2 linked regions of the Ovis aries genome follow. The protein of the gene in region 1 binds, or shares a complex with, the protein of each later gene. Links are inferred from orthologs where the notes say so. Each region holds a gene or a part of one and is shown on either strand. Other genes may lie near its edges.

Region 1 (4,330 bases):
GTATTTTAAGGATTTTATTCTAATTTTTAAAAATCACTCATTTTTGACGAAACCTCAGAATTCATTTTGGAGAGGGGAACTAGATTTTCCTGAAGTAGTTTTCTGATTCCTCCTCTCCTGGTTTCTCTGTTTTCAGGTCTCATTGGCACAGCACAGCTCATTTACTTGCTGGAAGAAGTGATCTGGAACCAAATGCTTGAACCTAACCCCTGCTCCACTGGCTTCTTGCTCTGTGACCTGACTCCTTGCTGGTAAACCAGCAACGTTAATAACATGCTTATCACACACACACCACGTGTGACAGGACATGTCAAGCACTGAGAAGACTGCCTGGCTTACAGTGCTTGTTGTTACACAGAAGTCACCCCACCCACCTTAACTTTCCTACACACTATTTGTCTATCTGCTCTTACTGCCTTTGGGACTAAGGCCAGGTTGGCAGAAACTCCACCTACCTGGTTGACCACCGTCTTCCTAGTACTCAGGCTCAGCCTGGCTGTAGAAATACTTGAATGCATAAAGAAACAAAACGGCAAATTCTTGTTTTATTTTTTCATCTTCCTATAATAGTGTCTCATGTTATTTAGGCTGATGAGCAGTAATACCTCCAAATAGTGTTTTCACATTTGTGTTAGACATGTCTGCTGCTGCTGCTGCTAAGTCACTTCAGTCATGTCCAACTCTGTGCAACCCCACAGACGGCAGGCCACCAGGCTCCCCTGTCCCAGGGATTCTCCAGGCAAGAACACACATGTCTAACTTTCACATTTCCTTGGCCGGAGGACTGTAATAATAGCCATCTTTGCTTATTACTGATTTTATTAGGAAATTCCAAACAGAAATGGTAGTCTTAAAAAACAATACCTTAAAGGCATATTTAAACCCTAGCTGGGGAAACAGTGGAAGCAGTGTCAGACTTTATTTTTTGGGGCTCCAAAATCACTGCAGATGGTGACTGCAGCCATAAAATTAAAAGACGCTTACTCCTTGGAAGAAAAGTTATGACCAACCTAGATAGCATATTCAAAAGCAGAGACATTACTTTGCCAACAAAGGTCCGTCTAGTCAAGGCTATGGTTTTTCCTGTGGTCAGGTATGGATGTGAGAGTTGGACTGTGAAGAAGGCTGAGCGCCGAAGAACTGATGCTTTTGAACTGTGGTGTTGGAGAAGACTCTTGAGAGTCCCTTGGACTGCAAGGAGATCCAACCAATCCATTCTGAAGGAGATCAGCCCTGGGATTTCTTTGGAAGGAATGATGCTAAAGCTGAAACTCCAGTACTTTGGCCACCTCATGCGAAGAGCTGACTCATTGGAAAGGACTATGATGCTGGGAGGAATTGGGGGCAGGAGGAGAAGGGGACGACAGAGGATGAGATGGCTGGATGGCATCACTGACTCGATGGACGTGAGTCTGAGTGAACTCCGGGAGTTGGTGATGGACAGGGAGGCCTGGAGTGCTGTGATTCATGCGGTCGCAAAGAGTCAGACACGACTGAGCAACTGAACTGGAACTGGAAACCCTAGCCACTTAAAACCTTGACACTAGGATGACACATTACACACACACATAAATAGTGCAAACCTTTGCTAAAACATACAAGGTGACTACGTTATGGACAAGAGTTTTCATTATCAGAGAAATGCAAATCAAAACCACAATGAGGTACCATCTCACGCCAGTCAGGACGGCTGCTATCAAAAAGTCTACAAACAACAAATGCTGGAGAGGGTATGGAGAAAAGGGAACCCTCTTACACTGTTGGTGGGAATGCAAACTAGTACAGCCACTGTGGAGAACAGTGTGGAGATTCCTTAAAAACTGGAAATAGAACTGCCTTATGACCCAGCTATCCCACTGCTGGGCATACACACTGAGGAAACCAGAATTGAAAGAGACACGTGTACCCCAGTGTTCATCGCAGCACTGTTTACAATAGCCAGGACATGGAAGCAACCTAGATGTCCATCAGCAGACAAATGGATAAGAAAGCTGTGGTATATATACACAATGGAATGTTACTCAGACATTAAAAATAATGTATTTGAGTCAGTTCTAATAAGGTGGATGAAACTGGAGCCTATTATACAGAGTGAAGTTAAGTCAGAAAGAAAAATACCAATACAGTATACTAACGCATATATATGGAACTTAGAAACATGGTAATGATGACCCTGTATGTGAGACAGTGAAAGAGACACACAGATATAAAGAACAGGCTTTTTGACTCTGTGGGAGAAGGCAAGGGTGGGATGATTTGAGAGAATAGCATTGAAACATGTATATTATCATATGTGAAACAGATCACCAGTCCAGGTTCAATGCATGAGACAGGGTGCTCAGGGCTTGTGCACTGGGACGACCCTGAGGGATGGGATGACCGGGGATGCGGGAGGGGGTTCAGGATGGGAGTTCAGGTGTACACCCATGGCTGATTCATGTTAATGTATGGCTAAAACCAGTAATTAGCCTCCAATTAAAATAAATAAACAAAAAAAAAGTTTTATATTTCAAGTACATTTCTTAACTTACAAGTCACAAATGTAACTTGTTATTAATGTAACTATTTTTACCTTATAGTTTTCAGCTCCTTGAATGAGATCTCTCATGGAAGTAGACAACTGATCCCTTTCTGAGCGAACAAATTCAAGTTCTTCCTGGAGCGTCTGGGCCTATTTTAAATATATGATAGTTTTTTAATGCACAGAAAAACATGATTTTCTAAAAGGTAAGGTTCACAAATCTTGGATTTTTAAGTCAACTTACTTCTTTCCTGCTAGAATCTAGTTCTTTCTTTGCTTTCACAGCAACTAGTTTTAACTTACTTATTTTCTCCTCTTTCTCTTTGGCTTCTTTTTCCAAGTATCCTAAAAACATAAAATGAAACAATTATACATAAACTCAAATGAAAACTAGGGGAAAATATAAGAATTACTCACATAGTCCTAGAAATGAAACTTTAATCTAGTACAAAATACACAATTTGAAATTAAAATAACTAGCAAAGTATCTATTTTTAAGTAAAAGCTTAATTATGGATTTTCTAGGCAAGGCAAACAATGAACAGAATTCTCATTTTCTTCAGTCTTCCAGAACAGCCCATCTCCTCAGTGTCCATACATGGAGAGGCCATTCGGACCCCTGAACAGCAGAGGACCTCCTGGAAATGCAGGTATGCTGGGCTCCTTGGTGGTGACAGCCAATCAGGATGAAGCAGAGATGTCAGACGCTCTTCACTGTTCATGATCCACAGGTGCCTCTGGTGGGTGGGTCTGATTTTTTCCAGCTGGACTTCAGTATGTCCAGTGTGACTCTCCCTTAATCTCTCTGGCTGTTTCCCCGACGTAAACTCCATGTTCCAGATCTTACTTCTCATGTCTCTGATGAACTTCAGTAATGATCTGAACTTCTACACTTGCTGATTCATTGAGTTGTGCCTTTGTTCACACTGCCTTCCTCGGCTGTTACAGGGGCACTGTCTGTGTGTGTAACACAGGCTAACTCTTCCACTTCTGTGTCTCACCCCATACCCCCTCACCTACTCAGGCCATCAGTGCATAATTCTCCCCTCTCTTGTGCAGCAAAACCCACTCTCTAATGGATTCACCCCAACAGTTGACAGACATGCGACAAGAGAAATGCCACCAAGAGCTTAAGGTCAGGAACAAAGGGTGGAAGCAGCCAAAGAGGGGAGGGGAGGGTCATGAGAAGACAGGTGAGACTTCATTCATTCTCTCACACACACACACACAAATCCACACCACCCCTCTGGACTCTGTCCCATCTCTTCCTTCTGAGCATGGTCTGTGTCTGTTCTCACATTTCTCTCCCCTATTTTCTTCCTGAATCCGTTCCAGTCATTCTCTTGCATACCATGGCAACTGTTATCAAGTTACCAATGACCTTGATGCTGCTTAGCTCAGGCTGGGCCTGAGTACTAAAGTGGCCTTTCTTCCCTCCTCAACACTTCCTCCAAATTCACTTCACTGGTCTTAGCTTCCAAGACATCTTAGGCTCTGGGTATTTCTAACCCTCCAGTTATTTCTTTTCACTCTTTTGCCATTTCTATCTTTCTGACTTTTACTCGACAGAGAACTGTTTCTGGTCCTTGTCTTTCTTCTACACTCACTTCCTTGGTGATCTCCACCTCGGGGCTTCTAACGCTAATGATGCAGAGAAGTGGCTTACCTGGTCAGCCCTCTACCAGTCACCCCAACCATTCCAACCATCCATCACAGAAGACTGTGGGTCACTCTAGATTGTTCTCACTACTCCCACAACAACTGGGCAGTAAAATGAGGAATTACAGGTACTTCACACAACCCCATCTT
Region 2 (5,000 bases), on another chromosome or scaffold:
TAGACTTTTGCTAATGCATAAGAAAACTACAGACACTGCCTGTGAAAACAGAGATCAATCTTTCCAATGCCAATGGACGGTATTACTGAGCAATACAGTGGTCTCAAAAGATAATAAATCTCACAGTTCTACAGAGTTAAAAAGCATGTAAACACAATGCTAAAAAAAAAAATCTAAGATGAGCCTAAGGAGACAGGACAACCAAATGTAATGTGGCATCCTGAATTGAATGTTTAAAGACAAAGAGATAAAAATTGAGAAGACCTGAATAAGCTATATATTTTACTTAATAATGTACCAATATTGGTTCATTAACAATAACAAATGCGACCAAGATGTTAACAATAGAGGAATCCGGGTGGGGCTAGATGGGAACTCTGCAAGATCTTAATTTTTCTGTAAATCTAAAACTGCTCTAAAAAATCAAGTCTAGTTACAAAAAATTTAAGACGGTGGAAGGAAGGGGAGTTAGTTAAGATTTAAGAAATTAAATGAGAAGCCATAAAACTCTGCAATGTGAATTAGAATATAAATACTCAAGAAATTCAAAGGAAACTTGCAGATTCTTAAATTATGGTCTCTATTCATACTAAAATCTTCCTAAGACAGAGATTAATGTATTTTTCATGCAAACTGAATAGCTCTGCATCACAATGTAAGGCAGGCAATCAAATCCCTAGAGTGCACCATAAGCACTTTGTGTGTGTATGTGTATGTGTGTCCTATTTATCAATAATGACCAATAGGTGTATTTTATGTATGGCACTGTCTTGAAAATGTCATAAAATACATAGACAGGGATCAATCTCAGAGGTTTCAGTAAGTTATTTAAAGGAACAAGTTTATATTTACTTGGAAATACATAAAGGAAAAATACGCAACGAGGAGACTTGATAAGAGGTCAGGGAGAAAAGATTATTTATGAAAGGAAAAAAACAATTCCTCAAGACCAACTGGAAGCAATTTTGCAACTATTATTAACCTATTTTAATGCCATTCCAATTAGTATAAATAGTTCAAAGTAGTAATAAGAGCTCCGAATTTATTTGCTATCTATCAGTTATTTTCTTTTCCATCAAAAGAAATAAATGTTTTCTATAGCCTAACCTAAAATATCTAGCAGATAACTCAACTGTCTGATGACTCGGGAGAAACTAATTAATCTCTCAATGACTCAATTTTAAAGACAAGAAAAATGTGAGAGAAACAACAGAGCATGATAATCGCTAAACTACAGAGTATGAAGTTTACATAATATAGCATAAAATTAGAATTACCATAAGAAGTAATTTTAGAAACGGTCATCACAAAATTAGAACCTTATACCTAATTTGTATTACTTTGTAGTACAATGACAGCACAAGTTTGACCAGGTAAATGACACAACAATTTCACTCATCAGATACGAACTAATATTAACTATACAAGAATCATTTAGTCAAAATGATATTACATATTCAAATCTAATTTAGATAACAAGTGGATGAATCGATTTCTTCTCTACTCTCTTCTCTACTCCCAAAGCCCAAATGAAATCCTACAAAACAAAGATGTTCATTATTCTAAACCTGTCTCTCAAAGTAATCCTAAATATTGATATATATTTGGAAAATACTAATGAAATGGAATAATTAACACCTCCCCAGTAATTCCTGTCTGCACCACCGTGAGGAGAATCAGATGCTGCTTCGCGTTGAAGCAGAAAAAGGAGAGGTGTGATGTGAAAAATTCCAAGTAAAACGATCATGACATAGCATCTGGCAGAGATTGGAAAGGCATGAACACTGCCGAAAGGATCGTCAGGGATGAAAGTCAAGAGAAAAAAACGAGGTTTTCCAACGAGCCACAGCCTAACCCAAGGGGCAAAAATCGCCACTGCCGCCGCCACTCCCTCACTCACCAACCACTCCATCCTCAAGTCCCCTCCAATTCAGATACATATCCTCCAAAACCCCGGCCAATTCCCCCACCCAGGTGAAAACAATCCAATAATTTCCTAGGACCTCCCCCCCCACCTACTTCCCACCTTCGGTAAGACCCGCACCTCTCGCGGCTAAACCTCTGGGGAAAACAACGCCCAGATCCCACCCTCCTAGCACAAGGTTGAAGAGGGCCGGTTACCCAGCGTGGGGCTTCCCGGGTGGGCCTCACAGAGCAGACCAACTGAGATAAGAGCAAGGAACAAGGGTGGGGCTCAAGGGAGGGAGCTGGGGTTGGCGAGACGACGGAGACCGGAGGAAGAAAGGGATGGACAGCAGGCTGGGGCTGGGCGGGGTGAGGAGTGGGGAGGGCAGATCGACTGGAGAGGGCCGGGCTGCGGGGAACGGAGCCCGTGGACTGAAGGGTCAAAATCCGAGCGACGGATCACGGGAAGAGGAACGGGTGGCGAAGAGGGGTCGGCGAACCGAATACGGGCAGGGGCTGCGGGGGGTAGAACCGAGCGCTAACGCGAGGCCCGCAGGGAGCCTCCACGGACTGAAGGGCCGCATTGGGGGGCGGTGCGGGGAAGCCACGGCCAGCTGCCAGGAGTGGGGGAGCCGCGCACTCACCGCTCTGCTCTCCCAGGAACACCAGCTTGAATTTCCTCAGCGGATTCCCGAAGTCTCCGCCCGCGGACATGATGGAGCCGGAGAAGCTGCCGCCGCCTCAGCCCAGAGACCTCCCGGACCGACGCCGCTCCAACCGGTTGACGAAGAGGCTAGAGTAAGGGCCGGCGCCGAGCTCTCTCGGCCCCTGCAGGGCCCGGCGGTGGAGCAAGGCTGGAGAGCAGGGCTCCTCTACACAGACAGGCAGCCGTCGCCGTCGCCTCCCCTCGGAGTCGCCTAGCACCTGGCGAGGCCCGCAGCTAGAAAGGGAATGAAGGCGGTGTCGGAAGCAGCCAGGGGTGTGCTAGGGGTGGGGGGGATCCCAAGGCTAGCGCCTTTCCCCTCTGAGCACCCGGCACCGAAACTGAGGTGAGGGTGGCGGAGTGGAAGCCGCAGAAGCGTTTGGGACCTCTCACACGCAGCGCTTCAGCTCCACAGCTGCCGCCGCCGCAGCCCAACCTGCTGAGTGCGCGAGCCTGTGGCGCGGCGCGGGGCGAGCCCGGGCGCGAGCCTGCCGCCCAGCCAGCCCCGGCGTGCGTGCGTGCGTGCGCGTGCGCGCCACAGACTGCGCCTTCCTGGTTCTGCCTGCTTTCCCGGTTCCGCCCGCTCAGCGGAGATCAGGGGTGGTTAGGTTTCCACCGGCTTGGGAAGATGCAGGGAGGTGGTGGGGCGGAGGCTGGAGGAACTGTTGGAGGTGGAATAGGGAGCACTTACGTCAGTTACTGGATGAACCAATCGAAAGAGGTCAAGGGCAGGCAGAGATGGGAGTGAGTTGGCGGCGCCAGAGCGCGCGCGCTACCCTCGCGTGGTGGAAAGCGGCTGAGCTTGGCGGCCATGCGAAGTGTGGCCAGGCCCAGCCTGAGGGGAGGGGAGAGGAGGGGTGGGAATTGGGGCGGAGGCGGAGCCGGAAAGGAAAGAGAATTGACCCAGACAAGTGCAGGTGAAGTCGGAAGGCCTTAGGTGTGCAGATGGTTCCTCTTTCCTGAGCCCTCAACCTTGCTTCTCATTCCTCACATCCGCCTTTCACCCACTTTCTCCTTTTTTTTCTTCTAATTCCTTGCATGATACCCTTCTTGGTACAGTCTCCGCTGTTGTTCCGAGGAGTTTCTTAACTACCAGAAGCAGGGCTTTCATATTTTTTGCAGATGAAGAAACAGAAGCTCATGGGAAGGAAATGACTTACAAAATCCACAGTCATAAAGTGGAACCCAGGTTTTGTCTTTTCCCCCATTGGACCTCCACAACTCCTGTTGATAAGCCTATTCACTTTCTTTGCCTGACCTGTTATGGTCTTCTGTTACCAATCTTTGTTGTTCAGATATGGACAGCTCTAGGTGACCCCACCTTCTACTGTGATAGAAAAGGATTTAGATATCAGGTAAACCAGATGCTCCATTTTACAGCTGGTGTAACTGAGGCTCATGTAGGAAATGGGTTTGCAGAAAGGTCACACAGCAAATTGGAGATAGAGCATGGCCCTGATGTGGGGAAGTGGATATTCTAAGGATCATCTGTTTCTTCTAAAGCAGGGTTTCTGAATCAGCTGTGGGTAGACCTCCCTTAAATTAGCCATCTACAGCTTGCCTATTTTTCTGTGAAGAGAATCCATAACTTTCAACCCAGTTCATGACCCCCAAAGTGAAGATGAGCCCCCAAAACTAATGTCACACTCAAGAGGAGCTCAAGAAGATGTGACAACCAAGAGTAATGTGGACACACTAACATGATAACTAAACTGTTAAGCTGAATGGGATCCTGGAACAGAGAAAGGACATTAGGCAAAAACTAAGGAAATCTAAATATATATGGACTTTAGTTAATTACAGTGTAACAATATTCAGGTATTAATTGTAACAAACATATCATACTAATGCAGGGTAATAGAGGAAACTGGGGGTGAGGAGAGGCACATGGGGATTTCCTATACTCTCAATTTTTCTGTAAATCTAAAACTTTTAAAAAATAAAGTCTATTAATAAAAGATAAATAAATGTTAAGAATTATCGAATAAATTGTCAAATTAGAGAATTTGGCATCAACCCCTACCATACTTCAGTCACAACTCACCATACTATAGGACAGCATATGAAAAAGTAATCCTTGCCCTTGAAAGAGACACTTTTGAAAACGCGTATAAAAAATACTTCCAAGTTAATAATAAAAAGTTATTAAATTTGTGTATCGAGCCATACCATTCACAAAACACATTTATGTACATTTTCTCATTATTTGAGGGTTATTTACTTAGCTATAGAAATGACAGGATCAAACAATTGCCTTCTCAAACCCAGGGATGAATTGCTGAATGAACTAGGATAAATTGAGGGGAGGAAAAGAGATTCTTAAGTCTTCATCTATTCTGGCCTATCAAGACAACAGATATATCCTCGAATCTCCTTCTCCATCAAAATTTAT

Evidence for each region. Proteins that work in one complex are often made in the same cells at the same time.
Region 2: the proteins of GCC2 (region 1) and RAB6A are in contact, whole or in part, in a crystal structure (PDB 3BBP), measured with the Homo sapiens proteins. The link is inferred for Ovis aries from reciprocal best matches to the Homo sapiens genes GCC2 and RAB6A. Residues at the interface, in NP_852118.2 of Homo sapiens: Thr1585, Ile1588, Leu1589, Glu1591, Gln1592, Leu1595, Leu1596, Glu1599, Arg1602; in NP_942599.1 of Homo sapiens: Lys15, Ile46, Gly47, Ile48, Trp67, Arg74, Phe75, Ser77, Leu78, Ser81, Tyr82, Asp85.

Annotation. Positions count from the first base shown.
Region 1 is NC_056056.1:61,917,554-61,921,883, reverse strand, and holds part of GCC2 (GRIP and coiled-coil domain-containing protein 2), read right to left. Parts: intron 2,867-4,330; coding exon 2,766-2,866; intron 2,672-2,765; coding exon 2,573-2,671; intron 1-2,572. UniProt on the Homo sapiens protein: Golgin which probably tethers transport vesicles to the trans-Golgi network (TGN) and regulates vesicular transport between the endosomes and the Golgi.
Region 2 is NC_056068.1:51,958,258-51,963,257, forward strand, and holds the start of RAB6A (ras-related protein Rab-6A), read right to left. Parts: upstream 3,056-5,000; 5' UTR 2,995-3,055; exon of another isoform or gene 2,846-2,994; 5' UTR 2,620-2,845; coding exon 2,550-2,619; intron 1-2,549. UniProt on the Homo sapiens protein: The small GTPases Rab are key regulators of intracellular membrane trafficking, from the formation of transport vesicles to their fusion with membranes.